7 linked regions of the Sus scrofa genome follow. The protein of the gene in region 2 interacts with the protein of the main gene of each other region in a biochemical or structural test. Links are inferred from orthologs where the notes say so. Each region holds a gene or a part of one and is shown on either strand. Other genes may lie near its edges.

Region 1 (4,202 bases), on a different chromosome or scaffold from region 2:
AAGGGAGAAGACAGAATACATGTACCACAGAGATTCGCCACAGTTGCCAAGGGGCTGCCACCGTCACACTTCTCCAGTCCACTGGCAATCCATCAAGGTGGTGGAGGACCAAGACAAATGACTGGGAATTTTCACTTAAAAATTCATGCTTAGTGGGCAAGTACAAATATTCAAAGAAAAAAAGTAAGACATAAGGTTAGATATATCTCAAAGGTCCTAGGGATTGGTAGTTCAATTCAGGAGCTAAAGTTAAAATAATCTCTCTGGACAAACACAGAAAGCTTCCTCAAGTGATTAGGATTCAAGTGTGGTTGAGGGGTAGAATATTCTTCTCCAGAAGACATCTTAAATTTATTAGAGAATTAAAGGGAAAAACTGATTCAACTGCCAACTTTGTCCATAACTTCAAGTCTTTATCTACTGTTCACAGTGAGGTGAACTGACTCAGCTAATTTCAGAACTGAATGTTTCACCTGACACTGGAGCCTAAGAGAGCGTGAATTAAAATGTAAATTCTAAGACATGAAATTACAGGTTATCACACAAGAAAACTGAATGTGGAACTTGAAGTGGTAAGTAAACAGCCTGTTTCAGGGAAACAAAAATACCATTTGCTTGGCAGTTCTATTTACAGAAATACACTCCTGTGTTAACAAATAGTTATTTAACAGACTCACAGATACAGAAAACAAACTTATAGTTACTAAAGAGGATAGCGGGGGAAGGGGGTGAAGAGGTAAGTTAGGAGTTTGGGATGAGCACACAAACACACGACTATATATAAAACAGGTAAAAACAAAAATGTGCTGTACAGCTCAGGGAACTTTATTCAATATTTTTGTAATAGCCTATAATGGAAAAAAAATCTGAAAAAGAATACACATATATGTGTGTAACTGAGTGACTGCTGTATACCTGAAACTAACACAACATTGTAAATTAACTATACCTCAATTCTAAAAAGTTACATATGTATGTAGACCCTAAGCAACAATACATGTAACTAAAAACACTATTCTTGGGAGTTCCCACAATGGTGCAGTGGGTTAAGAATCTGACAGCAGCAGCTCAGGTCTTTGCAGAGGTCCAGGTTTGATCTCTGGCCCACTCAATGTGTTAAAGGATTTAACTCCACAGCTACAGTTTAGATTTAACCCCTGGCCCAGGGAACTTCTATATGCTTGGATGCGGCCATAAAAAGGAAAACAACAACAACAAAACAGCTATTACTCCTCCATTCCTAAGATGCTTAATTTTAAGGGTGTGCTATAAACAACATTGACAAAATCTTTCCTTCTTCAATGCTTTTCGGAGGCATCCCGGCTTACAAACACAATGATCAAGAAAGTCTTATGGGTCATGGCTTAAAAATACAAACCAATCAAAAGCATTAAAGAATAAATAACTTTGTTACTCCTTCATATGAACCTTTTTACATAAAAATGTATTAATATTATTTAGGCCAAAAAAAAGGTGGAATGAGAAAAATAAACTGTAAAATCTGAAATAATTCGAGGTTAAGAAAACAACGAATATAGGACTCAGAAAGTGGCCTAAAATCACACAATCAACAGCGACTGTAAACAGTTAATTGCCTGCATATTTTACTACTTTTTGGAAAAAAACAACTTAAATATGTAATAGAAATAACTTTCTGAAAAGTGTTACCCTGCACGTAAAACACGTACCCATTGATCATTTCATGCAAGCAGTGTTGCCAAACTTAAGACTAGCCGTCCTGTTTCTGAAAATCAACATTTTTGCTTCCAGAGAGCTTCTCAATTGAAGAAGACCAGTCACCATCTGTCTCAACCAAAGTCAACTTCTATTTTAAAAATCACAGTCCGCCATCACACCCACCTCTCTATAAACAAATGCTTGATACATTTCAACTCGATGATTTCTGAAGGACCGAGTCACCTGAGAAAACGGCTACGTTTATTATATCAAGGGCCTTGAGATTCACAACGTCCAGGTTCATTTTCAACTACGAGATTGCCTAGATTACCCTGCCAGCCAGCTAAAGCGCGGATTGCTAGTCCGCACGGAAATACTGGAGTGTCAGCAAAACCCAGAAAACAGTCGGCGCCCCAATCACTCCAGGAGTGGATTCCGGGTGCCACGTTGCCCCCGCCCACCTACCCCGGACCCCTTAGGCCAGGACTGGGAGCTTCCAACCCCAGCCGGGTGCTGGGTCTCCAGGGGGTCCAGGAACAGCCCGGCTCCTCCCGGGGGAGGCTGCCCGAGTGGGAGACGCAGCCCCGCAGGTCCCAGACGGACGCGCCGGACAAGGGACAAGCAGGCCAGGAGAAGAGGTGGGGGGGAGGGGGGGAGGAGAAAGGGGGAGGGGAAGGAGGGGGGAGGGGAGAGGAGGGAGAGGGGAGAGGATAGGTCCCAGCCCCCACCCAGCCTGTCGCACGCCGGCCGCATCTCGCCAATTTTCTCTCTTACCTTTTCGCATAGGGTCCGCACTTGGTTCTCATTAAGCTGTTTACACTCGTTCAGCTGCTCGACCCACTGGTCCAGCTCCTTGGTGAACGCCTTGTCGTCCATGGCGACCCGAGCCCCTCCCCCGCCGTCTCCCGCCCCCCTCCCCGCCCGCCCTCGCCCCTCGCGCCGCTCCCCTCGCCCGCCGCCGCCAGCTCCCAGTGGGAGAGGAAGGAGTGGGGGAGCGCGGCCCCGGACCCCGCGCCCCGCCCGAGCCCCGCGGGCGGCTCCTGGCGCGCGGCCTTCGGGAGACCCCCGCCCGCCCTGGCCCGCCGGGCCGCGCGCCCTGGGCGTCACTGGAGGGCGCGGGGAGGTGCGGGACTTCCGCGCAGCTCCCGCCGGATTATGGCCACTTGCCGCCGCCGCCGCCTCCCGCCCGCCCGCTGCTCTGGATTCCCTTGCCCCTTCTCTCTCGCTCTTTCTTTCCCCTCCCTCTGGGTTTCCGTCATCGCCCGGGCATTTCCGCCGGGAAAAGGTTAGCAGGCGGTGCCGCCGGAGCCCGGGACTCGAGGAGGGGTACAGCGCCCCCGTGTGGCTCGGCGGAGAAACGGTCCCTTTCCCTTCCATCTTGCACTTTATCGACCAAGCTCTCCCAGTTCTTTCTTTACATAATTTTACGCAAGTCTGTACCCACTATAGTTTCCTGCAGTGCTTTTTTCCCCCTTTTTTTCTTCTTTTTATTTTAGCGTTCTGTAGAGGGGATTGGAAAGCTTGTCCCCCTCCTTGACAACATTGTCTCCTCAGAATCTATCACTCTCCCATAGCAGGTGGTCAACATTTGTTGAGAAAAAAAATAAATTCTTTCTAGTCTTACCTCTGTTATGAACTAGCTGTGAGGCACTGACATCTCGAATCCCCCCTTTCAGCATCAGAAAGATGAGATGACAGCTCTGTGTTTTACCAATCAGTGTCCCAGCTCCCTCATCCTCCACGGAGTTGACTGCAGTGTTTACTGAATTCTCATGATTTGTTCATGCAACAGATACTTAATGAGCAACTGCTAACTGCCAGATCTCTTGAACAGCTAATGCTTACCAAGTTGACTTCCTATATTATAGTTGCAGATTATTGCCACTGAACCCAAATGGGAGGCAGCCTCTTGTATCTGAAGGCAAGAACTCCCTCCAGCTCCCTCTTGGCATTGCTAGCCTCCCAGCCAGGTCCTTGGACAATCACCAAAGCTCCCCCAGCCTCAAGTTCATCATCTGTTAAAAGGGGGCAATAAGCCCTTTTCAGGTTATCATGATTAAATTCTACAAGTGCTTATCCAACAGTAGAGTTTGGGAGCCATGTTCCTCTGTTTCTTGCCTTATCCCTCCTAGGCAATAGCTACAGAAAACTTTAGAAGGGTGGCATTTTTTTTCTTTTCCTTTTGCAGTGGTTTGCTGCGGGGTCTCAGTTCTCAGACCAGAGACTAAACCCCAGCAGCATCAGCGAAAGGGCCGAGTCTTAACCACTGGACCACTAGGGAAACCCTGAGAGAGGTGGCATTTCAACTGAATTTTGAACCTTCTCCCTAAGCAACACTTTGGAGTTCCCTGGAAAAGAGGAAAGGAGTTCTCAGGATTTTGGGTTTTTTTTTTGGAAAGTGGCGGAGAACAAATGTGTGCAAGACCATGGTCTCTTTGGAAAGCTACAAATACTCCTAATAACCGAAATAGGTCCTATGGTGGAAAATAAGGCTGGAAGAGCTCCTGTTCTCAAGTGTCTTGTAA
Region 2 (2,944 bases):
AGGCTGGCAGTCACAAGCTGAGGCAGAAGTGGGGATGGAGGAAGCCCGGCCTGGCCCTGAGGGCCTTGCCTACCTGTCCCAGCGCCATCTCTGGCATCCAGGGCAGCCGACCCGCTGCTAGCTCAGCACGGGAGGGGGGCCAGGCTTCTGGGAGGAAAGGCTCACCAAGTCAACGAGTCATTGCGAACCCCACCCTGGCTCACGTCTGGGGTGGGGGCAGGGAACCGAGTAAGGTCATCAAGGGTCACTGTGAGGGACGTGCCAGCGGGATGCTTCGAACAGAAGACTGAGGGCCCCCACCCAGTGTCCAAACCTCGCCCTCCTTGACTTTCCCCCTCGATGCGGAGATGCCTCCCCATCTAACCACGTCCATTACTGAAGTGGGGGGGGAGGCTGGGAACTCGGGACAGTGACATAATGAGGGGAACAGGCAGTGACTGGGCTCCGCACAGCAGACACACAGGCAGGGCAGACAGGTGGCTGCTGCAGTGGGCGTGGGAGGGGTGAGAGGCTCAGGACCCCCCTCCCAGACCCCGCACACTCCAGAGATGCCACAGGCCCAAGCCTGGGAACAGGCGGACGTCCCCCAAGAGGCACAAGTCCTTACAAAGAGAACTGGTTAGCCCTAAGGTCCCAGATCTGTGAGGTGGCCAGAATCGTGGCTGTGGTTCCAACCTTCAGAACTCAATAAAACAGGGCTTCCTGGGGCGGAGGGAGCCCCTCAGCTCAGGACCCCCATCCTGCAGGGAGGGAGGAAGAGGCCACCACTGGGGACATGGAGCCAGTGGTCTTGGAGGAAGTCATTCACAGGATGCCACCCTCCGGCCCACTGTCCCTTCAAAGGCGTGGGGGCGGGGCTCAGAGCCCTCCACCTCCAGGCTGCCCTCCAGAGGGTGGCACGCCCACCATGGCAGACACCAAGCCACCTCCTCCCCTGTGCCCTTCCTCTCACACCCTCCCCCTGGCACAGTCCCCTCCGCAGCCTCTCCCGGCCCTGCAAGCCCCCACCCCATCCTGCTCCAAAGGTCGCCCTGTGCCTGTGCTCCACCAGTGCACCAAGTTTCCAGTCCCTTGCCACCTCTGAAACCCCCCACCCAGGACGGGCCCCAGGAGAGGTGTCCCTAGGCCCTCATGAGTCCCCAGAAGCAGCTTTCAGAGCCTCTCCCCCTCCCTCTTCCACTCAGAGGGGGGTAAAAAAAATCAAAAAGTAATTGCCCAGGGAAATTCTGGGTGTGGCCATCTTTTTAAATGTTTTTAAAAATATTTTATTATGACTGGCCCACCCATCAATTTGGAAAGATGAAATCCGCTCTTATTCCCGTCACTGATTTGGAAGTCCCAAGCCAGAGCTGAGTGACAATGCAGGTTAAGTGATTAACCGATTAACCGATCTGTGAGGAGCAGCTGGGGGAGGGCAGAGGGCGAAGGGCCAGATCATTATTCTTTTTTTTTTTCCACACTCTCACTCTCCTCTCTCTACGATTACTGACCGCCCCGGGGCCCTGATCACAAACCCTGCTTGGCCAGGGAGGCGGACACCTCGTCGGCGAGCGTGGCGAGCTGCGGGGAGTCCACCATGTCGATGCTGCCGGTAGAGGAGACATTGCTGAGATGCCTGGGGGACGTGTCCCCTGACACCACGGGCGACTTGTACACAATCTCCGCCCCGTGGTCCGTCTTGGCTTTGGCGTTCTCGCGGAAGGTCAGCTTGTGGGTTTCGATCTGCAAGAGAGGAGCGGGGGGAAGGTGAGGAGGGGAGCTGGGGACCGTGGGTGGGAGGCAGCCCAGGTGGCGACCATGATTTCATCATTTCCCAACAGCCAACACGGGTCCAGGGTGCTGGTCACTCGCCAGCCAGCCGCCCAGGTGCCCACTCCAGAGGCATGACCAGTGTGAGTGTCTTGGGTCCCCTTCCAGAGAGGCCACACATGCAAACGTGTGTGTGAGTACAGAGAGGAAAGAGAAAAAAACCACCTATAATCCATATGGTAACAACACCCACGTGCTTTGCACTTTCCATCCCAGGTAACAGCTCCCTCAGCTGGTTGACCCTGCGGAGGGCTGTGTGGTTTCCCATCGTAGCAGATGTGCCAAAATGTATCTAGTCCCCTGTGGGTAGTTAACTGAGGTTGTCCCAGTCTCCTGCTCTCCCAGACAATGCTGTGTATGAGTAACCTTGAATAACCTTGTAGGTACATCATTTCACACATACTCTTAAGTGTATCCTAGAAGTGGAATTGCTAGTGGGTCCAAAGGCACGCATATTTTCTTAATGCACACACCTTGCCAAATTACAAATGAAAATGTTGAGGAGTTCCCATCATGGCTCAGTGGTTAACAAATCTGACTAGCATCCATGAGGACGCAGGTTCAATCCCTGGCCTTGCTCAGTGGGTTGAGGATCCGGCGTTGCCGTGAGCTATGGTGTAGGTCGCAGACGCCGTTCGGATCTGGCATTCCTGTGGCTGTGGTGTAGGCTGGCAGCAACAGCTCCGATTAGACCCCTAGCTTGGGAACCTCCATATGCCGCAAGTGCAGCACTAAAAAGCAAAAAAAAAAAAAAGAAAGAAATGTTGAAGGGGAGGCTGAAGAAGACTCAGGGATGTGCCCAGGGCCCCTGCCACCCAGCTTGGAGCCACACACATTCCTCCCCTTTGCCAGTGACATGACACAGGAGGTGGCAGCAGCTGTGGGCGGCACTGGCAGGTGCCCAAGAAAACATGATGCAACAAAGTCCTTTTTAAAGTAGAGCTGGTTCCAAAATATACAAACAGTTCACAAGCTCAGTATCAAAAAAAAAAAAAAAAAAAAAAAAAGAGGGAGCTCCTGGCGGCCTAGCAGTTAAGGATCCGGCATTGTCACTGCTGTGGCTTGGGCTCAATCCCTGTCCAGGAAACTTTCGCATGCCACGAGTGCAGCCAAAAAAAACCCAAAGAAACAAAAC
Region 3 (3,628 bases), about 16 Mb from region 2:
AGCATGAGGCCTGAGGGACGCAGCCGGTCAGGCTTGGACACACCACCAGGGACAGTGCCCTGGCACAGGGGACAGACACCGCCTGGCCCCTCTGCACGCGCACCCCCAGCCGCTCCGGAAGGTCCCTCTAAGGCCAGGACACGTGCAGCAGAGAAAGTGACAGAAGACGGGGAGGGAAGGAGAGCCATGCAGGCGAGGAAGCCCGGCGGCGTGGGGCCGAGAGCCGGTCATCAGACCAGGGCCCGAGCGGAGAAGGGACGCTTGCTCCCAGCCGCTTCCTGGAAAGGAGCCTGCTGCTCTGAACACAGGACCCAGGCCCCGGTGGCCCTGGGGCTCCGGTGGGCAAGACCTACGAGCACTCCCCACCGAGACGCCCCCAGAGAGCAGCGCCCAGCAGACAGAGCCAGGAGGAGCCACAAGAGTCGCTGCCGAGAGGAGCAGCGTGGACGCCCAGCCATGCACCGACGGCAGGGAGCAGGCGGCTGTGGCTGATGGGTTAATGCAAACGAGCGCGTGGACGAGGTGCTGGGCAGAGACCGAGCTCGCAAAGAAAAGCAAACGAGGACGACAGAGGTCAACGCTAAGGAAGAGAGATGACAAAGCCGGGACAGCCGAGACCAGGAGTGTCTCCCGCAGCGAGAGCGCAGGGGCCCCCCTCCCCCTGCGGCCCTCTGCCAGCACGACGGGACGCACGTCCACACCAGCCTTCGGGGCCACGGGAGCCACCACCGGGCTCCCGCGCCCCACGCCGGTGCCAAGGGCCAGCGGACAGCTGCCCCGGAATCCGCCTGAGGAGAAGACCTGGGCCAGGGGCCTCGCCCGCTGGCGGCTCCTGGCATGCAAGCCCCCCACCCGGCCTGCGCACACTCACCCAGCGCTGCCTTCCGACGGGAGCCGTGCAGCTACTTGCCGTGGTGTTCGAAAGGAATGCTATTCTGAGGTGGGGGGAAAAGACAGCTGTTGGGGAGGGTTCGCGGCGGGACCAGCACGGAGGCCCCTCCTCCTTCCTCCTGCACCAGCGCTGCCTGCGCGAACCAGGCCCCCGGCCGGGCCTCTCCCCGCGGAGCGGCCTCTCAAGAGTGGTCCCTGGACCTGCCGACACGGAGCCCGCCCCCAGGGCTCAGGCTGTAAGAGGACGGGACCCTCGACGGCGGCCCCTCCATCGGCTCTCACACCCACGGCTCCCCGAGGCCCAGGCGCGCGAGGGCTGGACGCGGGGAAGAAGACCGGGCTCCGGGCCTCGGGGGGGCAGGGGAGGCAGGGATTCGCACAAGTCAGTCCCTGGCACCAGGAGCCGGGATCGTGTCCCTCGACAGCACTGGACGGAGGGGGCACTTCTCAGAGAAACGCCACCGCCAGGCTCGTCCGCCAGCAGCCCTCCGCCGTCTCCGCGGCACTCCAGCCACGACCAGGGACACAGGCCAACGTCCCCCCGCCCCCAGCTGAGATCAGCAGGCCTCCTCCCTAAGGGGCAGAGGCGGCTAGGGAAGTGGCCACCCCAGCCCACTGCGACCCTGCACCCCTGTGTCACCACCCCTGCTCCGCTCGCATCTCTGGGGGAAGAAGCCAGACCGAGCCTGGAACAGCCCTGATCATGGAGGCCCTTGGCGGCCAGGAACGGCGCCTGCCAGCAAGAGTGCCAAGGGATAGAGCCGTCCTGGATGGAGGGGACTGGGGCTGTGCCCTCAACGCAGAGGTCCTAAGGAGACCCCGGGGGGAAGAGGGACAAAGTGGAGGCGCCCCATCCTCAGAGCCACGGCACACGTCTTGGTAGGAAAGCAGAGAGAGAACAGAGAGCAGAGGCAGGCCCTCACGGGGAGACTGGGCAGCAAAGCCCAAGGAGCCGGCGGCAGAGGTGGTCGCAGACCCGAGGCGCTGGCGCCCCTGAACCCCTGGCGCTTCCTGATCCTTCCTTGTGTTAAAGCCAAAGCGAGGCCTGCCCTCCTTCGTCCCAGCCGAGGCGCTCTGGGCCCGTGCCAGGCCACTGAGGCGTGCATTCCAGGGCTCGTGGGAACACACCCGGAGGCCCTTTCTGTGTCCCGAGGGAGGCAGGATGGCTGGGGGCCGGGAGCCGCATGGGGCCGATCTCGAACCCCTGACCAGAGCCTCTGTGCCCCATGATTCCGACCAGCTGCGTCTCCAGCCAGAGAGAAGCTTAATGGGCGAACAGCAGCCCGTTTCCAGTAGAAGTGCCAGCAAGCGACAGGTGCCCTGTTTACTTCACGCAGTTAAGAAAACGTGGTCGGGGCACCTCCTCTGCTGGGCACACCCGCCCTTTGCCTGGCCAGCCGGCGCTGCAGAACCAGGCTCTGGGCACTTCGCACAGGCCCTGTGCCTCCAGATCAACACGCTCAACCCGCCAAATTCACCGACAAGCTACCCCCAGCAGACAGCATGGGGTGACCCCGGCCCCACGGGACACTGGCTGAAGCAGAGAAGAGGCCCACCTGGACCATTCTTCACCCTGCCCGCCTCCTGCCACCCACGCGCAGAAGACCTGCCAGCACGCAGGCGAGGAGTGGCGCTGCTGGGCAGGGACAGCGAGCAGAGCGAGTGGGCACAGGGCGTGGCTAGAGAAGACATGGCGCCGGGCGCCTAGGACGCCCTACAGTGACTGCCGGCGGGCGACAAGGGCTCTCCGCGGGGGTGGAGCGCCCGGCTGACAAGAGCGAGGACAGAGGCTCGAAGGCTGGGCCAGGCGCGCTGCAACACCAGGCGCCCACAGGCTGGGGGCGTCCGCCCAGGGAAGACGGCGCAAGAGAAGAGGCGCCAGCGGGCGTCCCAGCACAGCCAGGGCGCAGCCTGGCCCCAGAGCTCGTCCCTGGGGCCCTCAACCGAGGGCCCCACGGTAGCGAGGGACACGAGGTCCCCGGCAGTTCAGACGCTCCGAAGAGGGAGAGCGAGAAGGATGGAAAGCAGGAAGCCTCCGAGGCCGTCGCCCACTGCGGGGGCCGCAGGACCGGCGCGCAACGCGGCTGCGGAGCGCAGGGCCCGGTGGCGGCCGGGCGCGTACCTGTGAGGTGGACATGCGGGAGGTATCTTGCCGGCCCGTGAGGTCGGACGAGGAGATGTTGACGGGGGCCCCGCGGTGCAGCCGCATACTCACTTTCCGCTCTCTTTCCATGCCGGACACGGGCCGAGGAGAGGTGTTCGCTGGAGGAGAGGGAGACAGGGCAGCGTGAGGCCTCAGGACGCGGCCCCACACTCCGCGAGGGCCTCTCCTCGGGAGCCGTGTCTCACGAGGACCCGCGGCCACGGCTGCGCCGGCGTCGGGCTGGGAGCGCTGTTGCACCCGGACTCTGGGCCGGCCCTGCGTCGGGGCCCTGGCAGCACCCAGCTGACTCCTGGGAGCCAGGCGTCCAGCGGGAGGGCGGCCGAGGCGACGGGCGAGGAAGAGAACGGAGGGGTAGGTGGTGGGGAGGACTCAAGTCTCGAGACGAGCGAGACGACAACGCGGAGCTCCCGGGGGGGGACGCAGCCCTTCAGGAGGCCAGCACCCGCCAACAGACACTACCAGCCGCCCGGGCACCTCGGGATAACAACCGACGGGGACGGGGACCTACAAGGTCACACGCTGGCGCGGCCGGAGCAACCGACACGCGAGCCGGAGGGCCGGCCGCCGGCAAAG
Region 4 (4,336 bases), about 16 Mb from region 2:
ACGTTCTCACGTGACAGTAGAAAACCAAAATCTGTTGTCATCTCTTAAGGAATTGAGAATTGCGTACAAAAACCTTACATAAATTAAAAGGATGAATAAATTTACAGGTGTGAATGCAAACGCTTCCAACTCAAGGCAAGTTAACAACCCACGGTTTTCTGGCGGGCAAACATCGGGGAAGAAAGGACAGTGGGTCCTAAGGCTCGGACCTTCCCAACCCCGTCAGACCGGCAAGACAGAAATGACAACTGGTTCAGGACTCTTGCCAGCCTCGAGAGAAATCCTGGAATAGGAGCTCGGACACATGAATACCCTGCACAGATCGGAGAGACTCCGTCTCAGATTCTCAACCAGCCAACGGATTTCTCTTCCACGATAAACAGGTTCTCACCTCAGCCACGAGGTGACAGAGCCGCGTGTGTGTAACTAGGGGTTTAAATCAAAGATATGCACAGGGTATTAAACAGAGACCAAGGGAAGAGTTAACTCGAGTACAAGGTCAAAATCAGCAACAAGGTCTACAATCCAGTGCTGATACCAGATACAAGCTTCAAGGACAAATTTCTTTTCAAAGGCTTATTCCAGTTTCAGGAGGCTGGCATGAGGTGTGTACATTTGCCAGGGCAAACTTTATTTCTGGATTAGCTCATGCAGCAAATGCTACGCATCTGCTCGCAGTCCGTCTAGAAGCATTTGCGGTGGACGATGGACGGGCCCGACTCGTCGTACTCCTGCTTGCTGATCCACATCTGCTGGAAGGTGGACAGCGAGGCCAGGATGGAGCCCCCGATCCACACCGAGTACTTGCGCTCGGGAGGCGCGATGATCTGGGGAGACAAGGGCGGGACTTCAGTCTCCGGCAGCCAAGCCCTGGGTCCCAGCAAGGCCGCCTGCCGACCCCACGGCCACCCGACTCACCTTGATCTTCATGGTGCTGGGCGCCAGGGCCGTGATCTCCTTCTGCATCCTGTCGGCGATGCCGGGGTACATGGTGGTCCCGCCAGACAGCACCGTGTTGGCGTAGAGGTCCTTCCTGATGTCCACGTCGCACTTCATGATCGAGTTGAAGGTGGTCTCGTGGATGCCGCAGGACTCCATGCCTGAGAGGCCGACAGAGCGCCCCCTTAGCGGTCCCCCGTGCAAGGGGATGAGCCCCCGGGCCCCCCCCAGGCAGGCCGCGCTGCCCGACACCTACCCAAGAAGGAGGGCTGGAAGAGCGCCTCTGGACACCGGAAGCGCTCGTTGCCGATGGTGATGACCTGGCCGTCGGGCAGCTCGTAGCTCTTCTCCAGGGAGGAGGAGGACGCGGCGGTGGCCATCTCCTGCTCGAAGTCCAGGGCGACGTAGCAGAGCTTCTCCTTGATGTCCCGCACGATCTCCCGCTCGGCCGTGGTGGTGAAGCTGTAGCCCCGCTCCGTGAGGATCTTCATGAGGTAGTCGGTCAGGTCCCGGCCAGCCAGGTCCAGACGCAGGATGGCGTGGGGCAGGGCGTACCCCTCGTAGATGGGCACCGTGTGGGTGACCCCATCCCCAGAGTCCATGACAATGCCAGTGGTGCGGCCAGAGGCGTACAGGGACAGCACGGCCTGGATGGCCACGTACATGGCCGGCGTGTTGAAGGTCTCGAACATGATCTGGGAAAGGCAACGGCTCCTTAGTCAGAGAAGGGACCCCGGGCCACCCCATGCTACACACCATGCCGACATGCCACAAACGTGATGTGATGTGTGGAGAAAAGAAAAGGAAGCAGGCAGAAACACAAACGAGAAACCTTGAGACTTCAGGAAGGAAATGCCAGGAGAAGAACAGAACCCTGAAAATATCGAAAGAAACACTTGAATTTCAGGAAAAAAAACCCAAAAGCTCAGCACTAAACGACTCATGAAACGGATGGAAACGGCCCACTGCACCCGGCAGCGCCTACCTGAGTCATCTTCTCACGGTTGGCCTTGGGGTTCAGGGGGGCCTCCGTGAGCAGCACGGGGTGCTCCTCGGGGGCCACGCGCAGCTCGTTGTAGAAGGTGTGATGCCAGATCTTCTCCATGTCGTCCCAGTTGGTGACGATGCCGTGTTCGATGGGGTACTTGAGGGTCAGGATGCCCCGCTTGCTCTGAGCCTCGTCGCCCACGTAGCTGTCCTTCTGGCCCATGCCCACCATGACACCCTGGTGTCGGGGACGCCCGACGATGGACGGGAACACGGCCCGGGGGGCGTCATCCCCAGCAAAGCCAGCTTTGCACATGCCGGAGCCATTGTCGATGACCAGCGCGGCGATCTCTTCTTCCATGGCGATCTGCTCAAAGGCACGAGCGGCTCAGGCGCGCCCAGCGGCGCCGGGACGGCCCCTGCAAAGGCCCTGCCCGCGAGACGCTCCGCCTCCCCCCGGCCCGGCAGCGGAGAAACCGCCCGGAACCGGGGCCGCCTTTTATGTAACCCCCCCGCCCGCCGCCGTTCCGCGGCGGCGCGGCCCAGAGCGCTCGGCAGTGCGGCCGGACCCCACCCAGCTCCCGCCCCCGAGGGCGCCCCCACTGCGGACCCCGGGGGCCCGCCCGGCCGCCCCTTTTGTTGCCAGCGGCGGTGAAGCCGGGCCTCTGGGGCCGGGGCCGGGCCTGCGGAGGAGCGCGAGAGCCGGACACCGGGCCGGAGCTGCGCAGGCCTGGTCACCTACCGGCGGAGACGGCGGCCGCGGGGCGCGGAGGAGCGAGCGGAGGAGCGGCGAGAAGACACGGAGCGCGGGCCGGCTGCGGCGAGCGAGACCGACCGCGGCCTCCCCCGCCCCTATTTAAGCGGAGCGGGGGGCGCGCGCGGCCCGGCGGCGCGCGCGGCCCCAGAACATGTCCATATATGGCGATCTTTCCGAACGCCGGGCGCCCATTGGCCCGGCCGGCCGGGGCACGTGGGGCCCCGCGCCCGGTCCCGCCCCCTCCCGCACCGCCCCCAACCGCCCCGCCCGCGCCGCCCCCGCGCGCCCGCGACCCCGCGCGCGAGACCCCGCGCGGGGCAGGCTAGCGGGCCGGGCTGGCGATTCCCCCCCCCACCGCCCCCGGGGTCGCAGGGTGGGCCGCAGAGCTGACCCGCCGGCTCCGCCCCGGGACTGTCGCGCACCCTGGGGGAGGGCCCGGCTGCACCCCGAAACTGCCTGGCCCGGGGCTGGGCGGCACCGGGAGCAGGGTGTGTTCCCGCGCCCCGCCCCCGCAGGGGGGCTTCGCTCCCCGCGCGCCCCCTGCGAGTTTCCTCCCCGAGGCTCTGCAGGGAGCTCGGGCCGCGAGGCGGCTTCTCGGTGCTGAGCTGGGGGCGTGGGGGAGGGGAGAGGGCGGTGGTCGCCGCCGGTCGCCGTGGCGGCACTGTGGGCCCGGCGGTCCGGGGGAGTCCCGGGGAGCCGTGACCTCGCCCTTCTCACGACGAGAAGGAGCCGCCCGTTTCCTAGCGCAGCCACCACCGCCAAGGCCCCTCCGCCGGTGTCGGGGCGCCGGGGGTCCCTGATTGTGCAGAGACAGGCCCCGTCCTACCACACCCAACCAACGCATCCTGCGCCTCAAACCGCAGACCCGATTGTCCCCAGGCGGCGGCTCCTCTCTGCGTTTGGGGCCACCCCCTCCTCGTCCGCGGGGGAGGTGGTGGAGTTTTGCTCCATTTTAATTACTTTTGAGTGTTGTATGGAAACTGAGGCAGGGGCTACCTGAATCATCACCTTCCCCCTAGACTTGAGCGGGGCACCCTCTTCTCTGTTTATGATACTAGGAAACGGCCACGCCTGGAGTGGGTTTCCTAGGCCTCAGTAACTCTGGGGCTGTGGGTCCAGTCGGCTCCAGGGCGCGCCCTTTTCCCCAGGAGGCTGGTCTTGAAGTCCTGTCACTGCTGGCAGGGTCTTGGTCACACCTGCTGCCACCAGTGCTTTGGTTATGCCCAGAGGGAACCAGGTACTTTGGAAGCTTTCGGGATTGCTCAGCACGGAATTAAACATCAAAAGAGCCACAGGGAAGAGAGAGCACTGGCCAAGAGGGGTGGCAGTGGTGCCGGGCAGACCGAGTCTGGGGCCTTGTCAGGGTCCCAGTATGCTTGGCTGGACCTGGGCAGGTGTCTGCCGATGGGGGGGCGGGACCAGGTGCCCCAAGAGCCCTTCAGCTGGTGTTCACATCTGCGTTGGGCTAGACAGGTAAAGCCGCTGCCCAGCTCACCTGGGGGGGAACCTCTGTCACCCAAACGCAATCCATGCCTACGGCCACCTGTGCCACCAGGCCTAGCTGGGTACCCGACTTCCCAGACTTTCCAAAGGCACAGGGCAAGGCCTGGTGTGTGCGTGTGCCACTCTTGGGAGAACCGGGGGCTGGGCCTC
Region 5 (4,370 bases), on a different chromosome or scaffold from region 2:
CAAATCCCCACGGGGTTCGAGCATGGGCTTGAGAATTCAGGACTTCAAGTGTCCCTTTCATCGTTTCCGCGGTGCACAGTGGGGTCCCCAAGTCCGTGCAGTGGCCTGCGACTGCCGTGTCTGTGGGGTTGGGGACTCTATGGCAATGAGGGAAGAGACCCTCGCTCCCTGTCCCACCTCAGCCTCACAACCAGCCACATGGAGACCGCGAAGCGCTGGGGCTCCCCTGTGCCCCCCATGCACATACGCTGGTCACCCCTCTTGACACACCTACACTCCACGATGGGGTGAGAACCCTGGGACTCCGCATAACTAGCTCTGCCTGGCATCTGCTGCCCCACTTCCTGTGCCCTGAACTTGTAATCGCTGCCTGGGGCCCCCAAACTCCCAACCTGCCTCTGAGCTCTAATCACCTCCACACGCCTATAAAGGTGGCGTCGGACCCAGACCCTTCAACCCTGCTTCGATCCCCTAAACCTGGCCCCTGGCCCCCAGTCGCGGGCGTGACGCCGAGGGACCCGAAGCTTCCACAACGTGGGGACATTCTTTAACAAGTGAAAAGTTTACTTTTCTGGACTTCCCAGAACCGCGGGCACGGGCCTCCATCCCCGGTCCGCACGCTCCGCGCCTGACTGGGGCGAGGGGCCGCCCGCGGCCTGCGCAGCCGCGCTCTCCGAGCCGGGGTCGGGGGCCCGGGGCGGGAGGGCGGGGGACGGGGCCCCCGGAAAGCGCGAGACTTTCGCGAGAGTTCCAAGCCACGCAGGCGCACTGCGGCCGGCGCGGGCGCGCGCGCCGCGGCCGCGGAGGACGGGGCGCGCGGGCGGGTCTCCGCGCGGGCCTGCGCGCGTCCGGGGAGAGGCGGGAGGCGGCCAGGGCGCAGGCGCGGGCGCGCGGCCGCGGCGGCGGTTGGGGAGGGTTCTTCCGGAAGGTTCGGGAGGCTTCTGGAAAAGGCGCCGCGCGCTGGGCGGGCCCGCCTCTATATAAGGCAGGCGCGGGGGCGGCGCGCCAGTTGCTTCTGCGTCCTGGTGCTGCGTCGCCGCGGAGCCCGTGCCGTCCTTCAGCCAAGGTGAGGGGGCGGTTGGGGGGCTTCGGGGGCGCCTGGGGGCCGGCGGGCGGGCCCCGAGTCCAGCCCCGGGGCGGCGGGGTGGCGGGGCCGGTGCGTCCGGGCGTCTCGCAGGCCGCGGGCCTGCCGCGGCCTCCCCTCCCCCCGCCGGCAGCGGGCGGGCCTGGGCCGCGGCGGGGCCGGGGCCGTGCGGAGGCGCGGGCCGGGATCCCTGGGCCCCCGAGGGAGGCGAGCCCCCGGCCCGGCGGGCGGGCGGGGGCGGCGGCGGCCGGCCGGGGGCCCCAGCAGCTCGGGCCGCCGTGCACACGCTCGGGGCCTGGGCCCGGAATGAGGTCATCCCTTTGTCAGCCGGCGGCCCCGGATCCCGCGGGGACGGCGGCGGCGGGCGCGCTGGAGCCGGCTCGGTGTCCCTTCCAGATGCCCGAGGAAACCCAGACCCAAGACCAGCCGATGGAGGAGGAGGAGGTGGAGACGTTCGCCTTCCAGGCGGAAATCGCCCAGTTGATGTCGTTGATCATCAACACTTTCTACTCGAACAAGGAGATCTTTCTGAGGGAGCTCATTTCCAACTCGTCCGATGTAAGTTGCCTTCGGGATTGGGCTTTGGTGTCGGTGTGAAATGCACCATTTTGGGGTTTCGGGCGTAATCATTTGCGGGTTTTGATAGGCTTTGGACAAGATCAGATACGAAAGCCTGACGGATCCCAGTAAACTAGACTCCGGAAAAGAGCTGCACATTAATCTCATTCCGAACAAGCAAGACCGGACCCTCACGATAGTGGACACCGGCATCGGAATGACCAAGGCCGACTTGATCAATAACCTTGGTACGATCGCCAAGTCTGGGACCAAGGCGTTCATGGAGGCTTTGCAGGCCGGTGCCGATATCTCCATGATTGGCCAGTTCGGTGTCGGCTTCTACTCTGCGTACCTGGTCGCTGAGAAAGTGACCGTTATCACCAAACACAACGATGACGAGCAGTATGCCTGGGAGTCTTCTGCAGGAGGATCTTTCACCGTTAGGACAGACACAGGTAGGCGTCGGTGGAGGGTGGGGTGCTGTAGACACTGGACCCCAGGAGATACTGTGCAATTTGTGTTAAAGATTAGAAAAAAAAACCGTTTTTGTTTCCCTGAACTGAGATAGCCTGACGTCGTGGTTATTTATCTCGGGCCTGGCCCTTAATTGCTCAGGGACTATTTTCTTCTGTAGTAATCTTGCTCGGGACAGTTCAGTGTTATCTGTGGCTTTGAGAGCCGAATGGGGGCTGCTTTAGTTTTGATTAGGGTCTTAAGATTGAAATTGAGTTTGTGTCTTGCCTTTTCAGGAGAACCTATGGGTCGTGGAACAAAGGTTATTCTACATCTGAAAGAAGACCAAACTGAGTACTTGGAAGAAAGGAGAATAAAGGAGATTGTGAAGAAACACTCTCAGTTTATTGGCTACCCCATTACTCTCTTCGTGAGTATTTGTGCATTTTCTTTGTAGACAGCCAAGTAAGTGAATTGAAATCCTTGCTTTTTAGGAAGAGATCCAAACTTGAGTATTGACTCAAGACTAGTGAAGCGCTCTCTCTTACTGTGTTGGGGTATCTAGGGTTATTTATGTGGCTTTATGAGGAATTGACCAGAAGCTTCCTGGCTCCTGAATGTTTCTCAGTTGGGTGACGAGGTTTTGGTGTCCATGCTGTAGTTCCTTTTAGCTTACTAGTTTTTTAATTTTGGGGGGGAAAAAGGTGATGATTTTGTGTTTCTTTTTAAGGTGGAGAAGGAACGTGATAAAGAAGTCAGTGACGACGAGGCGGAAGAAAAGGAAGACAAAGAGGAAGAAAAGGAGAAAGAAGAGAAGGAATCTGAGGATAAACCAGAGATAGAAGATGTTGGTTCTGATGAAGAGGAAGAAGAAAAGAAGGATGGTGACAAGAAGAAGAAGAAGAAGATCAAGGAGAAGTATATTGATCAAGAGGAACTCAACAAGACAAAGCCTATCTGGACCAGAAACCCCGATGACATCACTAATGAAGAGTACGGGGAGTTCTATAAGAGCTTGACCAATGACTGGGAGGATCACTTGGCTGTGAAGGTGGGTGATTGCTGAAGCTGGCGTCAGCAGGTTGTCTGCCCCAAATGGGTAAACGTGAGGGTACTTTCTGGCAGCTTTCTCTCCCTACCCCAGCCCGGCGTCCCCCCAAGTGCTTTGTGTGACCGCAGATGTGTAGCTGTCAGGTAGCCTCACTTGTCAGCAGGAGTTGCTTGTGGTATGTGTTGCTCACGGCTGTGTTTTATTGCAGCACTTTTCAGTCGAAGGGCAGTTGGAGTTCAGAGCCCTTCTTTTCGTCCCAAGACGCGCTCCTTTCGACTTATTTGAAAACAGAAAGAAGAAGAACAACATCAAGCTGTATGTTCGCAGAGTGTTCATCATGGACAACTGCGAGGAGCTCATCCCTGAGTATCTGAGTAAGTAGAGTTGAGCCTAAGAAACGACGGCTGTCAAATTCATCCTGTCAACCCCGTGCCACGCGCGCAAGTTCCTGGGCCAGGGGTCACACCCACGCCACAGCAGAGACCCGAGCTACTTCAGTGCGTTGCCAGATCGTTAACCCACTGTGCCACCAGAGACGGAATTCCAGACTTGGAAATGCATGGGGAAAACTGCGTTCTCTTTGGGTTTAGCTGTTTGTTGATTTTTGTCGGAGTGATTTTGAGTGCATTTGGCATGCTTTTCCAGATTTCATTAGAGGCGTGGTGGACTCTGAGGATCTTCCTCTGAACATTTCTCGTGAGATGTTGCAACAAAGCAAAATTTTGAAAGTCATCAGGAAGAATCTGGTCAAGAAATGCTTGGAGCTCTTTACTGAATTGGCCGAAGATAAAGAGAATTACAAGAAGTTCTATGAGCAGTTCTCTAAAAATATTAAGGTAGGTAATCGTGTGACAACAGCTGTAACCAAACTACTTCTCCTTTTCAATGAATTTGTTTTTAAGGCCAAGTTTTGTTGAAGCTACCATTGTTTGTTTCAGCTTGGAATACATGAAGATTCTCAAAATCGGAAGAAGCTTTCCGAGCTGTTGAGGTACTACACTTCTGCTTCTGGCGACGAGATGGTTTCCCTCAAGGACTATTGCACCAGAATGAAGGAGAACCAGAAACACATCTATTACATCACAGGTAAGGCGAGATGGGTGTAATCGTCATGCCTCTTGCTCTGGGATTCCATAGGAACAGCTGGGAGTTCTCTACCCACATGGTGCTGCGTGTGAGTTAGGTGTTGATTTAGGCAGTGAGAGCTAATCTTCATCTGTAGAA
Region 6 (3,628 bases), on a different chromosome or scaffold from region 2:
GGGGGGCAGCCCTCGGCTCCCGCTCCCAGCAGCACTGCAGCTTGCCTTCCGGCCTGGCAGGCGCTCCTCCTTCAGTTCCGCCTCCCCTGTGCTGGTTGGGCTGCGCTTGGGGTGCAGGGGTGCGGGAGACGGACCACCTGGTAGAGGAAGGCGACAGTTATGGCTGGCATGACCTGGAAAAGCCAGAACCTACTCTGGGAAATCCTTGGGATCTTAGAACTCCTTATCGCCTACATCTGTGTAGGCCATTCTGACAATATCTGTCAATGTGACACAGACATGTGTGAAAGTGACCCAGAGGTGCCACATAAATCACATGATGCACATATGTTACTCACTGCATGCTTCTTTTTTTTTTTTTAAAGCCAAAAGACTGGGAACAACCTAGATGCCCCTTTATATGGGGAAACTAAGTCAGTCAAGATACTGCCACACAATGGAATACTATGCAGCTATAAAGAAGGTCCCAACACCAAATGATCTTCAAGACAGACTGAAGTAGAAGAGGCAAGGCAAGGTATAACATCTACAGTGGGATGTCGTGTAGAAAAGGGGGGAAAGTGGGGAGTTCCCATTGTGACTGGCAGGTTAAGAACCTGACTAGTATCCATGAGGACGCAGGTTTGATCCCTGGCCTCGCTCAGTGGGTTAAGGATCTGGTGTTGCCACAAGCTGTGGCACAGGTCGCAGATGTGGCTCGAATCTGGCGTTGCTATGGCTGTGGTGTAGACCAGCAGCTACAGCTCCAATTCGACCCCTAGCCTGGGAACCTCCATATGCTGTAAATGTGGCCCTAGAAAGAAAAAAAAAAAGGGGTGTTTGTGTCTCTAACTCTATATTTGTTTATAAACAAATGTTGCCAAGCGGCTCTCATTTCTATTAAAAGGGGATAATATTTCTTGATAGTATAAGTATATTAAATATTGTATTATACATCTTCGTTCATTTTTTCTATCTTTCTCCTCCTTTTCATACCTGTCTCTTTATATATTTACATATGAGTAAAACTTCTCCAAAGGAATTCATATAAAGCCGGTAACAGTGGCTGCCTCCGAGGAGAACTGAGGGCTGGGAGATACGAGTAGGACAAAGACTTTTTTCTTTGTTTTCTTTTGTTTTTTGGCTGCACCATGGCATGAAGGAGTTCCTAGGCCAGGGATCAAACCTGTGCCACAGCAGTGACAATGCTGGATCCTTCACCTGCTGAGCCACTAGGGAACTCCAAGACTTTTTAGCTATTTACCTTTCCTGTGCTATCAAGTTTTGAAGGAAGTGACTGTATTAGTTTCAAAAACAGAGCAAAACCAGATTGGTTCCTTAGGCCATCTTGGGAATGTATGGTTTTAGAACCAAGGGAGTTAAATATGTCCTAGAACCCCAGACCGTTAGGACTTCTGCATGGGAAAGCCTCAAGAAACTTAATGCTCAAAAGTCCCAGAACTGGAGGAGCTCCCTGGCGGCTCAGTGGGTTAAGGATCTGATGTTGTCACTGCTGTGGAATAGGCTGCTACTGTGGCAAGGGTTCAATCCCTGACCCTTCTGCATGTTGTGGGCATGGTCCAAAAAAAAAAAAAAAGTCCCCAAATCATAAAAAACTCTACAATGATGGACACAGGGGGCCCATCAACCATCCTTCACACAGAGAATCTCAGAATCCAGGGTTTTTTTTTTTTTTTTTTTTTTTTTTTGGTCTTTTGTCTTTTTAGGGCCGCGCCCATGGCATACGGAGGCTCCCAGGCTAGGGGTCCAATCGGAGCTGTTGCTGCCAGCCTACACCACAGCCACGCAGGATCTGAGCCCTGTCTGCAACCTACACCACAGCTCACGGCAATGCCGGATCCTTAACCCACGGAGCGAGGCCAAGGATTGAATCTGCAACCTCATGGTTCCTAGTCAGATTTGTTTCTGCTGTGCCATGATGGGAACTCCCCATGTGGGGTTTTTGAAAGGTTACCATGTTCTAACCATAGGATGTTGGAGTCACAAACTTCTTAGGGACTTTCTGGACCAATCTTGCTATTTTATACGTGGGAAAAAGGAGGCCCAGGGGAGAGGGTGGCCTGACCATCCAGAACCAACCTTTTTCGGTTCAGGACTGATACCAAGCTTCCCTGAGTCCCCTCTCCCAGTGCTAGTGCCTGGTCCAGAGTAAAGAACACCCCTGGAGAGAGGCGGGGCTACAAAAATAACAGAAAGTTGGAAATTGCCTTGGCAGTTCCTTACTGTGAAACATAGAGTTTACCAGATGACCCAGCAATTCCAGTCCTAAGTAAGGCCCAAGAGAAATAGAAACACAGATCCCCACGAACAACGTGTACATGAGTGTTCACCGCAGTGTTATTCACAACAGCCAAAGGCCGAAACAACTCAAATGCCCTTCGGTGGGTAAACAAAATGCGGTGTATCCGCGCGATGGATATTCAATAAGAAAAAGGAACTACGTGCTGATCCTGCTAAACGTGGATCAACCTGAAAATAAAATCCTAAGTGAAAGAAGGCAGACAAAAACATTCGGAACTGGGAAATCTAGAGACAGAAAATAGATCAGTAGTGGGCTGGGGGTTGGGACGGGTGGGGATCTAAGTAAAAGGTCAAAGGCTGAAGGTTGTAGAGTATTTTCTGGGGTACTGACAATATTCTAAAGCTGACTGTGGTGACGGCTGCACGACTCTTGATACACCAGCACCGCTGAACGGCACACTCTCAGTGATGAATTGTTTGGTGTGTGAATTATATCTCAATAAAGCTATTTAAAAGTATTAGGAGGGTTCCCATTTGATGAGGGCCTCGGTAAGAGATCTCTTAGAAGTTCCCGGGTCCCACTTGCAGTGGATCTACTTTCTGTAGGATATGAGATATCGGTTAGTTGCAGAATGGGGGGTACAATCAGGTGTCTGCCCAGCCCCTTCCCACTAGGAAGTGTGGAGGACAGGCCAGAGGGCAGGCTCTCAGCAGCCGTTTTGTACAAATACGTGTCCTCTTGTGTCCTAGTCAAATGGATTAATACCAACTGGACCCTGATAGCAAGTGGACCAGGAAGATCTCAGTTACGAATTGAGCTGGTCTCTAAAACGAGTCGTAAGGGCCTGGGAAGGAGATACGGTGAGTTACGTAAGAAAGAAAGCAACCGGACAAGCCGAGAAGCCAGACACAGAGTGTCCGCTCCGCATTCATCTGCTTTTCCAGCCATGACGGGAACTCCGGCTTTTCCAGTTTCTAACGCATTCCTGAGCCCGGGTGCCCCAAGTTTCATACACTATCCCTGCACCTTTACAGAACATTCCTCCCTTCGCTGCAGGTGGCCTGAGCAGGTCTCTGTGCCTTGCTGCCCAGAGAATCCTGACGGTCTGAGGCCTCGGGCCCAGGGACGGCAGGTGAGCGCGTGGGGACCATACTCACAGAAGTCGCTGTGCCTGCGCTGGCGGTGGTAGGTGGAGGAGGAGCTCCGCTGCCCTTTGCTGTGGCTGGTGCCTTTGCTGGAGCTTGTTCCATTGGTGGTGTCGCTGGGCGCCCGCACCCGTGCCAGGGCCAGCCCCGGGGCGCCCCGGTCCCCACCCTCCTGCATGAAGATGACAGACAAGGAACCTCAGCCCCGACCCCTCTGGCCCAGAAGTCCCTCCACCCTGGG
Region 7 (4,274 bases), on a different chromosome or scaffold from region 2:
TGGAGAAGGGAGGAAGATTAGGGAGGAGATGGGATTTACATGGGTGTTACCTTAATGCTTGACACATTTATTTACATATTAGCAGTGTAATTAAAAACCCAGACCTAACAAAACAGAACAAAAAGCAAAGTCACATAAAAACTGAAAGGAACTTTTGGAAAAGCAAACTTATGGGCAAAAAAAAAAGGGCTTTATCCTTTGCGGTCATCTATGACTTGGCACAAATTCACTTTCTGCTTAGTTTCTGACCTTAAGAAGTAAGGACAACAGGAGGGGGCATTCTGATCAGAACCCAGCAAGTGGAAGACCCAGGGTCTAGGGCAGATATAAAGCAGCACACCAGGTATCTTGTTCTTTCTCTCTGAAAGTACTCAGATTAGACATCAGTGCCCTGGCTAGTTCTTTGCAAAATCCAAAACCTCCAGAGGCACCGGCTGAAGATGATTTGTAAATTATGCTGTTAAGCAAAAAGAAACCAGATAGCAAACTAACACGGTTTTTAGATTTCGATAACAAAGAAAATAAGAAAAACTAAAAAAAAAAAAAAAAAAAAAAAGAAATCTACTTGACAGCTACTTGATTGATTAAAGATATCTGAGGAGATTTCCAATGTCACCCTCACCCCTTCCCTTCTCCCATCAATTAAGAGAGTAGAGTTTAAATACTGGATTATGGGCCACAGCATTTTATTATCAGCAAAACATTTGTTTGGGAAGAAATATCTTGGCTACAGGGAAGGAAATATCTTGGCTACAGGGAAAGTGAAGAAAGATGGTAGTCTTGAGAAGTTGACTTGCTTTGATTCAGCTTAAGTCTCCTCTAGTGAGAGACCTTGCCCGGTGATGAGGCTCCCAGGAGCAGTGGCCAGGACAGGGTGGGTTTCGCTTTGGTTTTAATGCATATGTTTTGGCCCATGGACTTTCAGGAAGATTTTGCTTTACTGGTGAGAACTCAGTTACAGGCGTGTAAGAACCCGTGCCCGCCCTCTGGCTGGGCTTGACATGCCGTTTCCAGCCTTGCCTTCCCAGCTTGCCCACTAGGTAAAGGCACCAGAGGTAGTCTAGCCCAGAGTGTAATTCAATGTTTTCTGCTGGTGGCTTAAGGAAGGGCTCTGTTTCAGGAATGACACAGAAAGGACCTGAATGAAGGGACAGAAGAATGAATGAAAAGAGCCATTTTGATGGAATTGCCCTGGGTATTAAGTGGGCTGGGGCAGCGAGGGGCTGGAGGACACGTCTTTTGCTGAAGAAACTCTCCATAAAAGTGTCAGTCATCAGTTACTTAACAATGATTCATTTCTTACCTCCCACTTGTGTACAAATTTGCAGATTTACGCAGATCTCCCGTGTGACCATTACAATGAACCAAGTTTCTTGTGAAACACACAAAACAGATTCCCCTCCTTTTTTTCCTTTTGCTCATTTACAAGCAATGTAAGGTTAAACCTCTTACAGGGAAGAACAGGGAATTTAAGAAATAAAAGTATACAGCTGCCTAACCCTGTATTATCACTTGAATTCAGACTGCCGACGAAAAGAAAGATGGTCCTACCAAGTAAAATTAAGGCAACTTGAAAGAGGATTTAAAATGCTGGATTCCATCATTTCTGTAAAAGGTCATTCTAGTCCTTTGCTATTTTTACCAAAGATAGAGACTCAGCAAGTTATTGGCTGGATGGATTTGGGAAGCCAGAAACTGCTGCTTCTGAGGAAGGAAGATGATAATGCAGCACTTGAGACTGAGTGAATGAAAGGTGTGAGAAAAGTTGAAGCCTTCAGAGATAAGACACAGCCAGCGCACACTGCTGAATTAGTCCTTGACTAAATTCCTAGCCATAACTGTACCCAGGCCAATTCTTTTTGAAACTGCTTGCAGCCTTGTGGCTTTGATTGAGAAATGCCCATTCCCAGCTCAAACCCTCCTTAAGACATCCCAGCCCAACCCCCTTCTCCCAAAGCCAGTCTCCTCAGGCACCCCCACCTACAGATTTGCATCAAGGCAGGTACATTTCCCAGCTGGACAGAGGCTACCAGAGACGCGGCTTCCATTCAAGGTTCTGCAACAAAACCTTAGGCTTTACCTCCAGCAGGCAATCAAATGCATTTCAGACAAGAGCAGAAAACAAAAGAAACAAACAAAACCTGTCCTTACCCGCTTCTTAAAAAATTGGAAGGCTGAGCATTTCTTGACTGGGAATCCATTCATGTCTTTGTTTACCATTTTCCACAGTGGGGAGTTCACAGTTATAAATCCAGGGTGGCCCCCGCCTGGTCAGTGCATCTGGTTCCCGGTTTGCCTCCTGGAGATAGTTAACGAAGACGGAGCGGGATGGAGAATCTAGCGGGGCTCAGGTTTTCACTCACACATTCTGCAGCACCGGCTACTGCAGCAACCTCTCCCCACTCTCAGTTGCCAAGGGCAGTGGCTTTTCTCTTTCCATCATTGCTCCGACACGCAGGCATCACGGCTGCAGGACCCCGGGATGCAGCGGATTCCGGGGAGAGGCTCCAGCTGCTGCCAACTGGGAGAAGGGCACCCCCTGCGCGCCCCCAGCTACCTGGCGGTTCTGCGGCGGGCGCGCTGGGAGAGTCGCTCTGCTCCAGGTGATGCGTTTCTGGAGGCTGCTGGAGAGGAGAGCTGTTTTTGATTGTGCAAGTTCCAGTGGGAGCTGTAGTTAAGCAGCTGAGAGAAGGAGTAAGAAAGAGCAGAAGCCAGAGGGAGGGAGGGAGGGAGAGCGGGAGAGCCGCGCCAGAAAAGCAGAGGGAGAGAGAAAGCGGCGCTGGAAGACGCAGCGATTCATGAATATCTGAGCAGCTGATGGAGAGAGGGCACCAGCTCCGGACACACTGAAAAGCAGTTGACTCCCCTTAGAAGGGTTACTTTAATCGTTTGCTTTTCTTTTCTTTTTGTTGTTAGGACCATTTACATCAGACTTTCATGTGAAATGCAGGATGTTTTTTATTTTAGGCTCATTGAAATTCTGTTGATATGGATTCCTGGGGGAAAAAAGCCTCTCAATGGAAATTTAATCAGATGCATTCCTGATCTGGCCAAATGTAGAGAAAAAGGAAATAAAGTGCAAGTGTAGGTGTAACAATAGATGGTCTCTCACTATGTACAACCTTTCTAGCATCCTCTTCCTACTTGTCACAATATACTGGGCAACTGTGAACGTAATTGTGTGTGTGTTTTCCACTACAGAAGCCTGCTTTAAAAAGGACACAATGAACATATATACAAAGTGTTTTATGCAAAAACCACAAAGAGTATTACCAAAAAAGTATTCCTGAATGCATTTAATGAAGAGGAAGGATTCCCAGTGAGTAAGAGAGGAAAGCATTTTGTCTATCAAGTGAAAAATCTACCCCTCCAAATTTTTACTCATGTTACTCTTTGCACATTAAATCCATTTTAAAAAGCCATGTAATTTGTGTGTGGTCTGTTTTTCCATTTTTATTTTGTTGGTATTTTATGGGGGGGGGTTGTAACAGAGTTGATAGCTAAAGAGAGAAAGCAAAGAAAATAATCTTGGCTTCTGATTGGGCACTGCTATGACATCTGTGTGTGGCTTTCTGCCAGTTGCCTGACCTCACAGTGCCTCTCAGACGGTGCCTCATCCATGAAATAGAGGCAGTCGCGCACTCATTCATTCACGCATTCATTTATTTAGCCATTTACTTGTTTGCTGTGTCATTCCACATATCCATTAAATCAAATCCAAATGTAGCAAGTGTCCCAGGTTGTAGAGCTTTTTCAATGTCACTACAGAGGAATGAAATCAATACGTAAGGGAAAGACACCAAGTCTACCTGATCACAGCCAACTCATTGAAAACAGCAGACCTAACACTGTTAACATGTTTATATGACAGTCTACATCAAGGAGAGAAACATACAGCTTAAGTGGGGAAGAGAGGCATTGATTTCATTGAATTGGGGCATCCATCAGTCTTTAGAGCTGGACCAGGTATTTTGGGGAATAACAATGAAATCCTGTCAGCTAAATGCTTTGAGATTTCCGAAAGAAAATGCAGCACAACCAAATGACTGGGCCTTATGATTGAGAGAAAATGAAATATTCATTGTGGAGAAATACGTTAAGTAGATCAAGATGCAAGGGGATATTTTATTTAATCTCCAACATCGATAGCTCTTTGTGGTTCTTCTAAAGAGTTCATATAAAATTCCAGCAGTTCAAAGAGAATTTTTGAGACTGGTAGGAATGTCCTCTATCATGATGATGGAGGAGGTTATGTGACTATGCATTTGTTAAAA

Evidence for each region.
Region 1: of the proteins of MAPT (region 2) and PPP2CB, one has a biochemical effect on the other in vitro, tested with the Homo sapiens proteins (2 studies listed by BioGRID). The link is inferred for Sus scrofa from reciprocal best matches to the Homo sapiens genes MAPT and PPP2CB.
Region 3: of the proteins of MAPT (region 2) and CSNK1D, one has a biochemical effect on the other in vitro, tested with the Homo sapiens proteins (4 studies listed by BioGRID). The link is inferred for Sus scrofa from reciprocal best matches to the Homo sapiens genes MAPT and CSNK1D.
Region 4: the proteins of MAPT (region 2) and ACTG1 form a complex in vitro, tested with the Homo sapiens proteins (2 studies listed by BioGRID, with this or other methods). The link is inferred for Sus scrofa from reciprocal best matches to the Homo sapiens genes MAPT and ACTG1.
Region 5: the proteins of MAPT (region 2) and HSP90AA1 form a complex in vitro, tested with the Homo sapiens proteins (3 studies listed by BioGRID, with this or other methods). The link is inferred for Sus scrofa from reciprocal best matches to the Homo sapiens genes MAPT and HSP90AA1.
Region 6: of the proteins of MAPT (region 2) and MARK4, one has a biochemical effect on the other in vitro, tested with the Homo sapiens proteins (2 studies listed by BioGRID). The link is inferred for Sus scrofa from reciprocal best matches to the Homo sapiens genes MAPT and MARK4.
Region 7: of the proteins of MAPT (region 2) and SGK1, one has a biochemical effect on the other in vitro, tested with the Homo sapiens proteins (3 studies listed by BioGRID and IntAct). The link is inferred for Sus scrofa from reciprocal best matches to the Homo sapiens genes MAPT and SGK1.

Annotation. Positions count from the first base shown.
Region 1 is NC_010457.5:54,294,510-54,298,711, reverse strand, and holds the start of PPP2CB (serine/threonine-protein phosphatase 2A catalytic subunit beta isoform), read right to left. Parts: upstream 2,927-4,202; 5' UTR 2,554-2,926; coding exon 2,452-2,553; intron 1-2,451.
Region 2 is NC_010454.4:17,100,563-17,103,506, forward strand, and holds part of MAPT (microtubule-associated protein tau), read right to left. Parts: intron 1,723-2,944; coding exon 1,515-1,722; coding exon of another isoform or gene 1,507-1,514; exon of another isoform or gene 741-1,506; coding exon 727-740; 3' UTR 1-726. UniProt on the Homo sapiens protein: Promotes microtubule assembly and stability, and might be involved in the establishment and maintenance of neuronal polarity.
Region 3 is NC_010454.4:789,328-792,955, reverse strand, and holds part of CSNK1D (casein kinase I), read right to left. Parts: intron 3,154-3,628; coding exon 3,014-3,153; exon of another isoform or gene 936-3,013; coding exon of another isoform or gene 903-935; exon of another isoform or gene 872-902; intron 1-871. UniProt on the Homo sapiens protein: Essential serine/threonine-protein kinase that regulates diverse cellular growth and survival processes including Wnt signaling, DNA repair and circadian rhythms. It can phosphorylate a large number of proteins.
Region 4 is NC_010454.4:1,318,831-1,323,166, reverse strand, and holds the start of ACTG1 (actin, cytoplasmic 2), read right to left. Parts: upstream 2,813-4,336; 5' UTR 2,669-2,812; intron 2,294-2,668; 5' UTR 2,288-2,293; coding exon 1,925-2,287; intron 1,635-1,924; coding exon 1,196-1,634; intron 1,101-1,195; coding exon 919-1,100; intron 828-918; coding exon 684-827; 3' UTR 1-683. UniProt on the Homo sapiens protein: Actins are highly conserved proteins that are involved in various types of cell motility and are ubiquitously expressed in all eukaryotic cells.
Region 5 is NW_018084979.1:919,088-923,457, reverse strand, and holds the start of HSP90AA1 (heat shock protein HSP 90-alpha), read left to right. Parts: upstream 1-1,480; coding exon 1,481-1,642; intron 1,643-1,730; coding exon 1,731-2,097; intron 2,098-2,391; coding exon 2,392-2,525; intron 2,526-2,825; coding exon 2,826-3,146; intron 3,147-3,354; coding exon 3,355-3,520; intron 3,521-3,791; coding exon 3,792-3,982; intron 3,983-4,084; coding exon 4,085-4,232; intron 4,233-4,370. UniProt on the Homo sapiens protein: Molecular chaperone that promotes the maturation, structural maintenance and proper regulation of specific target proteins involved for instance in cell cycle control and signal transduction.
Region 6 is NC_010448.4:51,686,353-51,689,980, reverse strand, and holds part of MARK4 (MAP/microtubule affinity-regulating kinase 4), read right to left. Parts: intron 3,560-3,628; coding exon 3,400-3,559; intron 138-3,399; coding exon 1-137. UniProt on the Homo sapiens protein: Serine/threonine-protein kinase. Phosphorylates the microtubule-associated protein MAPT/TAU. Also phosphorylates the microtubule-associated proteins MAP2 and MAP4.
Region 7 is NC_010443.5:29,624,355-29,628,628, reverse strand, and holds the start of SGK1 (serine/threonine-protein kinase Sgk1), read right to left. Parts: upstream 2,844-4,274; 5' UTR 2,221-2,843; coding exon 2,152-2,220; intron 1-2,151. UniProt on the Homo sapiens protein: Serine/threonine-protein kinase which is involved in the regulation of a wide variety of ion channels, membrane transporters, cellular enzymes, transcription factors, neuronal excitability, cell growth, proliferation, survival, migration and apoptosis.